Linked DNA regions of Ovis aries. The protein of the gene in region 2 purifies or fractionates together with the protein of the main gene of each other region. This does not show direct contact. Links are inferred from orthologs where the notes say so. Each region holds a gene or a part of one and is shown on either strand. Other genes may lie near its edges.

Region 1 (3,818 bases), on a different chromosome or scaffold from region 2:
GACTATTAAGAATAACTCAGTTTTTTGGCATTGGCAACTATATGATTAAGTGATATTCACTACCCTAGGTAGTCGGGGCAGGTGGAAATGATGGGTTTAAGATAAGTTAAATTTTATGTATAATGAATTAGTTATAGAACTTCTACGTGGATACTTTCAATATAATTCATGTCTGCTGCTGAAGTGAATTTTGGCTGGGCTAGAGACACAGTTATGGGAGTTATTCACATACAAAGAGTAACTGAAGCCAAGAGAGTGGGTGAGACAACCCAGAACATCAAGCATGAAAGGTCAAGTTAAAGTTCAACTCCATGATTGTTTATGGAGGTCAATCAGAAACAGTATATATGAGATGCTCTGCAGCAATGCAGGATAGCCTAGAAATAGAAGAAAAGAAGAGCTAAATCCCCAAAGGCAGAGATTAGCAAGGTAAAAGCAGCAGGAAAAACAAAGCAAGGGAATTCAGAGAACTAGCAATTCTACTGAAGTAGCTGACTATGAGGTCTAGGCTGGGAAGCAAAGCAAATCGTTATCAAAGTTGACATATGGGAAGAAAAGAACTGGTGGGCTGTGGGGTAGGATTAGAGTGAAGATCTGCCATATAAACTTATAATGAACAGATACACAAATAGTTACTCAGAGGAGATGAGGTCCTAACAGGGAAGAAGATAATTTTCTTACTAGCATAATCCTTTGATTTATTATTGGCAAAAGAAAACCAGGATCAACTAGGGAAAACTGTGGCAATTTCTCTGTTCTTACTGCACTCACATTTTAGCATATGTTTTAAACACTTCCTTATACTAAGTTTCTTTTAAATACAAATATAAAAACAATTATAGAAAAAAATTTCTATATTTTAATTTTTACCATTCTAGGTATTTTAATGAAAGTTTAAAATTTTACCTTAAGTATTTGAGAAATGATAAAATATTCTAAAAAACAATTTAAAAATGGTAAAATAATATTTATAGACCAGACCTCATGAAATTTGAAGGTTTATAGTACATGTAAATAGAATGGGATTAAAAGAAAAATACATGTTCTTTCATTTTAGAAACTTGGCTGTGAAAAACTGAAGTAAAATCTGATATATTTATCAATTGTGACAAATTGTATCTTCAAATATTTTTATAAGTAATAGTTCATAATTCTAAGAAAGGCTATTTAGTTTATAAAAGCTTTCAAATTTGATTAAACTTAGAAAAGACACATTTTCTGTAAATTGGAATTTCTGAGAAGAGTCATATAATAATATGACATTTCTACATTTGGGTCATAAAACTGGGAAAACATCTATTTTTTCAAATTTTTACACATAAGTAAAAATGCATATCAAGGTCACTGCAAAAAAAATTAATGTCTAACTGCTTTGATTTTAACAGACTTACGTATATATATATTATGTAAATATATTTATTTTACAGAGGTTTGTAATGATAATAGTACTTACTGTAACTGCAACATCCATTTATGAAATAACTGCTCATGCTGTTGATTTAGTTGTTTAAGTTCAGCAGAAAAGGAAGGAGAAACCTTGCTCAGTAAGTTGTGCAAAGTTTGCTTTAAAAAAAAGGAAGAGGGCAGAAGAAGATCACTCTCAAGTCACATACATCAAATCAACTCAAAGTAAAAATATTCCCTTACAGGTCAAGGTTAGAAGAGGCTATTAGTGGAAATATTACTTTAATCAGGTTTGGTAATGAGTGCATCTACTGAATATACACAGTATTTCAATATTTGTTTTTGTAAAATGTTATATACTCTTACATACAAGCATGTAAAAACAGTAATGAATTTGCTAAGTTTTGTCTAGAACCATTTACATGACAATGAACTCCAAATGTAAGGCTTTAATTTCTAAAAACAACTGTTACCATCATGAGATGATTAAACCTGCCTCCCAGTTTTGACAACAAATCCAGACGTTCTGGTGACTAAATACAGCTCACTTCTTGAAATGAAAACACTAGCAAAATGCTGTATATCCCTTTTTACCTTGGCACTACTGCGCTTTCATCATGCTATCCTTTAAGTAAAATATTCTGTTAATACTGAAGACTAGTGCAGCAATCAAGATTCTAAACACTCTAGCCTATAGTTTGTATTTTTTGCCAACAGTTTTAATTTATTCACATACTTAAAGAGAAATAGGACAAATTCTAAGTGAAATGTTAAGCAGGTAGCTTTAAAAAATTTCTCTCTCCATCTGTGCCAAATTACATTACTAGCCCCAGCACTTGCCGCTCCCCTATCCATACCCTTTACTGTGTGACTTTGCAATGCCTCCCACTCAACAAGTGAGTCTAGTCCCCTGCTCTTTGACTTTGTTTTCAGCCACGTCATTTATCGTGGCTACCAGAATGAGGCAGAAGAGACAGAGACAGTTTTGAGCCCAGGTTTTACGAGGTCTTTCTTTTTTCACTTCTGTCTCTGACATTGTCATGAGAAGAACATGCCTCTGGTAGCCTTCCAAGGAGGTCCAACAAGGAAGACAGATATGTGGAGCAAATCCTAGATCGGCCAACTCCCAGCTAATTGGAAGACATGAGATATAAGTGCATCCTGACATGTGCTACCAAGACTGTATCCATCAGCTATGTCTGCAATTTATGAAAGACTTTCCTTTCTTTGATTATCAGTAACAGGTGTTTCTTGCATTCTCTGAGAGATCTTTGTCTCTAGGTCCTGTGAAGTCCTACTCTGACCCTCCACTTTCCCCCACCCCCAGGCTGCTTGTATAAAAACAGATGCACTAAGAAGATGTTAGTGCCATCTCTTCCTTGGAACAATGTGGTTTCTTGACACATGTTTTCAGCTAGTCTCTGATTTGAGTTGCAATACCAATGAGCCAGGTAGAAAGAAACAAAACACCCAAAAAAACCAACCACACAGCACCATGTCATTCAGGTCAGTGGTCTACCCAATAATCTCCTCTCTCTGTTCTATAGCTTGAAAACTCTGTCAAAAGTCCTGTATACCTTAGAAAATTGCACTGAATTCTACTTTCAGGAAATAATAAAATTTTGATTCTCTGAGTCAATAACAATCTCTTATTGACTTAAATTATCAAGCCCACTTTCTATCAAACATTTTCTTATTCAGATGGTTCTGTGTCTTGTCTTAGTGAGGTACGAATAAAAGCCCTGAGTCTAACTGTATGGTATTTTTTATATGACACACTGGAACCACAGTATATAGTAACCCTGTTATCTTACTGTACTGGACAGGCTTTCCATAATATCAGAAAGCAGAATACCCACTACGTTTTGCAAGGTTTTTAACTCAGAATCAGGTCAGTCAGTGTTTTATAACCAATGTGAGGTTCAATGAATATATGGGTTAAAATAACAATAGAGATTAATGGCACATGGATTTCAAAGAAACTATGACCCTGCACAGGGAACTATATTCAGTATCGTGATAAACCATACTGAAAAGAATGTGAAAATATATATAGATGTATAACTGAATCACTTTGCTGCACAGTAGAAATTAATACAACATTGTAAATCAAGTATACATATGTCAATAAAATAAAAAAAGAAACTATGACCCTGATGATTACTGTAGGTCCTGAAGAAATGACAAATAAGAGAAAAACATAATTATAGTACTCTTCAGATTTTGCTGCGTATGTAGCGTATTTTTCAGCTCACAGTAAGAAAAATTTAGAAGTAGCCTTCATTGCAACTTACCTGATCCAATTTAGCCCTCTTTAGTTTCTGCAGTGTCCTATCAGAGGTTAAAACTTTAGAACTGCTGTGGGCTTCAAAATATTCTTCTACTAAGTGACTCTGAAAGCGGACAAAGCAAAG
Region 2 (4,512 bases):
TGTAATAAACTGCACTCCACTATCTGCACTGTCCTTCTGAGTTTGTTTCCTGGAACGCATGGCTACAGTAGGGTTAAATGGGGAATGTCAACAGATACGAGGGTTTTGTGGGGGGATGGTGAAAATGTTCTAAAATTGATTGTGGAGATGATTACACAATTATGTAAATGTACTAAAGACCATTGAATTGTACACCTTAAATGGATGAATTGTACGGTAGGTGAATTACACTTCAATACAGCTGTGAGGGAAAAAGGAAATTAGGGTATTTTAATTCTGAAGGATCATTGCAAGATGATTATAGAAAGTGTCATACACACATGAAGCCCTTAATAAATGGTGGCTGTTACTCATTGATGTATTAGCGTGCTTGTGTTTTCCTCACAATGATGAACATTTTAAAAAGAACATTCCATCCATAGCAATATGGAGCCCTTAGTAATTCAGATGGAATTTTACGTACATTTTAAAGGACCCCCTTGCTCATAAAGGCCAGGGCTAGGCCCATGAGCATTTCCTTAAGAGCTAGTGTGCCAGCAAAGCATCCTTTTCTAGGGTTTTCCTGTCAAAACGGTAAAACAACACACAGAAAAGAATACTTCCAGTACTGTTTCCAAAGTCCTTGCTTTCGGAAAATGTTTCAGTATTGTTAAATATTCAAAGTATCTCCACTTTGAACACTTAATGGTATTGGTGTAGGTTCTGGTAGAAAAGCCATACAAATTGGTTCTGCTTTGATCCTGTGTGTGGAAGTTCCTACGCACTGCAGTAGGGGAAAAACGTGCTCTACAGCTTTATTGTTTTCATGATTACTTCTAACAATGGTATTACCTCCCGGGTTATGAATACATCTAACTTGAACTGGAAATACTTAGTTCAACTTTTTAAACAGTGGAATTGGTGATGGACAGAGAAGTCCGGCGTGCTGCAGTCCATGGGGTCGTAGAGTCGGACTGAACTGAACTGAAAGTGGTTAACAGGTGGGGAGAGGGCTGGACTGGGAGTCAGGAAGAAGCCACCAATATAACACTTTCTTTTTTTTTTCCTAAGAAAGCGAGGCTACAAAATTTACAGCACATAGTATGTACATTTTTAGCTTCCCTCTTTCCCCTAAAGTTTGTGCCAGTGTGCAACTGAAGCCACCAAAGTTGCTTTTCACCAGATAAGGAAGCTACTCCAGGGCTTCCAGCATCTCAAGGAAGTTTCAGGGCAAGGTGCCGAGCCTGCCGGAACGCAGATGCGTGGGGGAAGCTGTGCCGGGGCAATTCACTCCCGGGCAGCAGGAGGCCCCGACCGGCTGGGGCTGGCAAGCACCCGGCGCTTAGGGGCGGAGACGTAGGGCGGGTCACCAAAGGTCGGGCGATTGTGTCGGGAGGCGAACGGGGCGTTGGCGACGGCGGGCGGAGCTGGGGGGGAGTGATGTAAGGAGCGGAGGGATCCCACTGGAAGAGCCGGGGCGGAACCGTGAGACCCCAGGGGTGTGGGGCGGGGGATCCCAGTCCCGCCCTGTTTTCCCCGCCCCTCCCCCCGCCTCCTTCACGCCCCTCCCCCCTCCTCCCCTCTGGTTGGAAAGTTTCTAGAATCTCTTCCCAGCGGCCTTTGCGGTTCCAACATGGCGGAGCTGACGGTGGAGGTTCGCGGCTCCAACGGGGCTTTCTACAAGGTACCGACCCTTTTGCTGCTTTGTTGGCTCTTCTGGGGGCTCGGGCCGGTTTGGGGGAGGGTTGGTGGTTCAACATAGTGGCGTTTGGGGTCGAAAAAGGCAGCCAGGACAAAGCCTGAGGCCACTGGGTTCATCGCTTCTCCCCCCTCCACCCGCGGTTTAACGGTCTCGGGGGCCCGGGCTCCGTTATATTTTGAAACAACACGTCGGACAGTTCTTGCGTATTCCTACTTACGAACCTTTTTCTTGGATGCTAGTGTGGCCGTTCGCGGGCCGGTGAGGAGAAGCCGAGTGGCCGCAGGAAGCTTCCTGGGAGCAGGCCCGAGCGCCGAGAGGTGGGGGGAGTCGTGAAAAGGAGGTGGTGGGATTGTTTGGTCACAGCCACTCCCCCGCCCCTCGAACTGGGCCGAGCGAGAGCGCCTCGGCCCGCGGCTACGACCCCTCCCCACCCCCTTGAGGGGTGCCTTGCGGAATCTTAGGAATTCACCTTTGTACTAGGGTTTTGGGCTTATAAACTTCAGTGTCTGAAGAGAGCGAGTGCAGAATTGAAGATTAGGACCGAAGAGAAAACTAGAAAACCTTGAAATGTGGCGGGTAGAAATATTTTATTTTGTTTTTTGCCTGGGAAATTGGGCGGCGCCTTAGCCCCTCTATTACGGAAGAAAAGGCGAGAGAGTTCTAGGCTTTAAGATTTAAAATGTGAGATAGATTAAGAAGACACAGCTGGGGAGGTAACTAGTTTGTGTTTCAGTTATCCAGTGTTTTTGGAGGGTGTTGACCCCCCCCCCCCGCAACACACACACACACACGCGTATTTTGAAGGTGCATTATTGTGGGATCGAGTCTGGAAAACGGAAGAGGAATTCGAGAGTAGAGGAATTTATTAGGGGCTTCCAGTGTAGGGGTCACTTAATTGAAAATGAAATCCTTACAAGTTTAGTCTTGCCATTATAACAGTCCCTTTTCCCGATTCTCCCTTTCTCCCAAAGTAATGCCGCGATGTTACAAGATCAATACAAAAATCTCCCCAGCTGTTGTCTGTCAGTCAGTCTTACTAAGCCAGCATCTCAAATGTTTGAGAGTCCTGGCTATTTTTATGAAGGGCCTTCTCCTAATACAGGAGTAGTATTGTGAGTACGCAGAATGTATTCTGAGTTTAGTTTCAGCGTACCTCGTATCTCCCACGGAATTTTCTCTTACTTGGTGGTCGTAATTCCTATTTTTAGCGTTTTCCTTTTCTAGTTTACTAATTAGCTGTGTGAAATTGGTTTAGCTGTCACGTGGTTATAGCGTAGTAGAGAATCACTGTTGGCGTCTAAAGGATCTCGTTAAGCTTTTTACAAGTTTAAATCTCCTTAGGTGGTTAACGTAAAGTGAAAAGTGACTAGTGGAAAGGAGTCCTAATTAGTGAATAGTTCCATTATCAGTCTAGGTTAACAACTTTTTGTCATACAAAAGCCCTGAGTAAAATTTGAGTAGGTATATCATTAGCCTGTTCTAATGGTTGCCGTCTTTGAAAGACTGCAGATAACATTTGTGGCACTGCACAAAGAGTGGGCTTATCATACTTTACTGTCAAAGGTAGATAAGGTTCATCATTTTTGCTTTATTCTCACTATTCGGCTGTTGAATTCTTGTGTAGTGGAGATAACGCATTTTTTCCTGGCATATCGAAACACAGGAAAGATTGTTTTGCTTTAACAATTTTCAGCATGTCGATGATAGATGATACAACACCATTTCTTTTTATGCAAGTATATTTGATGTTCATCTGCTAAACGTTTACGTTTTTAAAAACATTTTAAAGGTTCAATAATATCGTCAGTTTGCAAGTTTTAGTAAAGATTGTTTACCATCTTACGTTGGTTTTGCATAGTTTGTTTTTTTTTTTTGCTTTTGTCCTTGTTTTGGAACTGTAGTTTATCGATGAGACTTATCCATACTCTACAAAATCTGCTTGATTCTTAGACTTTTTGAGTCCATTACACCTATTTTGTTTACAGAGTGTAGTAAGGTGGTTCTTTGGCAGAGGTTGGGAAGGACCCTAGCCACATTTGAATCTGCTGAGGTAGCACTTAAATGTTTTGAATTTTATGTCCTGCAATAATCGACTTGTACTTTGTGGAAGCTATGGTCCTCAGAACTCTGGAAGAGTAAAGATGATGAAGTGGAAGGAGCCCTACATTTGAAGTTAAACAAATAGGAATTCTGCGTCTCTACATACTTCAGCTTATTTAAGGTCATCTAGCAGTGCACTGTTGACCAAATATTCCTGGTCCTATATTGTTTTGCGTAAAATAAGATGTTTGAAGTAGTTCAGTAGTTTGTAATATTTTTATCCCATGAAACTGTCCACTTGGAAAAAACTGGCTTACTGCATAAGCACATTATTAATTGTAGATTCATGAATTTTTTTAGATTAATTTGCCTATAGTAAAATGCATCTTTTTAAAAACATCTTTGACGATTATGTAAGTTTTGATAAATGCTAACGGTTGTGTAATCACTACCAATAGGGTAAAGCGATAGAATAATTCCACATCCCCCAAATTTCTATCTTGTCCCCTTGTAGTCATCCTCTCTCCTCACCCCTGGAACCTAGTGTGGTTTCTGTCCCCATAGTTTTCCCTACATAGAATCATACAGAATACTATTTTGAGTTTGGGTTCTTTAATTTAACGTGGAAGTAATTTTAAGCAATTTTTTCAAATTTAAAAAGTAATACATGGTCAGTGAGGGATTTTAGAAACTATCAGAAAAAGCTAGAATAATAGTTAACATTTTGGTGTTTTTTTCTTTCAGCGGTGGTTTTCAATATACTGGTGGTTCTGATTTTCCTCTCATTTTTC

Evidence for each region.
Region 1: the proteins of FXR1 (region 2) and ORC2 purify together in Homo sapiens (affinity purification with mass spectrometry; 4 studies listed by BioGRID and IntAct, with this or other methods). This does not show direct contact. The link is inferred for Ovis aries from reciprocal best matches to the Homo sapiens genes FXR1 and ORC2.

Annotation. Positions count from the first base shown.
Region 1 is NC_056055.1:203,313,306-203,317,123, forward strand, and holds part of ORC2 (origin recognition complex subunit 2), read right to left. Parts: intron 3,798-3,818; coding exon 3,699-3,797; intron 1,564-3,698; coding exon 1,454-1,563; intron 1-1,453. UniProt on the Homo sapiens protein: Component of the origin recognition complex (ORC) that binds origins of replication. DNA-binding is ATP-dependent. The specific DNA sequences that define origins of replication have not been identified yet.
Region 2 is NC_056054.1:206,947,810-206,952,321, reverse strand, and holds the start of FXR1 (RNA-binding protein FXR1), read left to right. Parts: upstream 1-1,601; 5' UTR 1,602-1,612; coding exon 1,613-1,663; intron 1,664-4,512. UniProt on the Homo sapiens protein: mRNA-binding protein that acts as a regulator of mRNAs translation and/or stability, and which is required for various processes, such as neurogenesis, muscle development and spermatogenesis.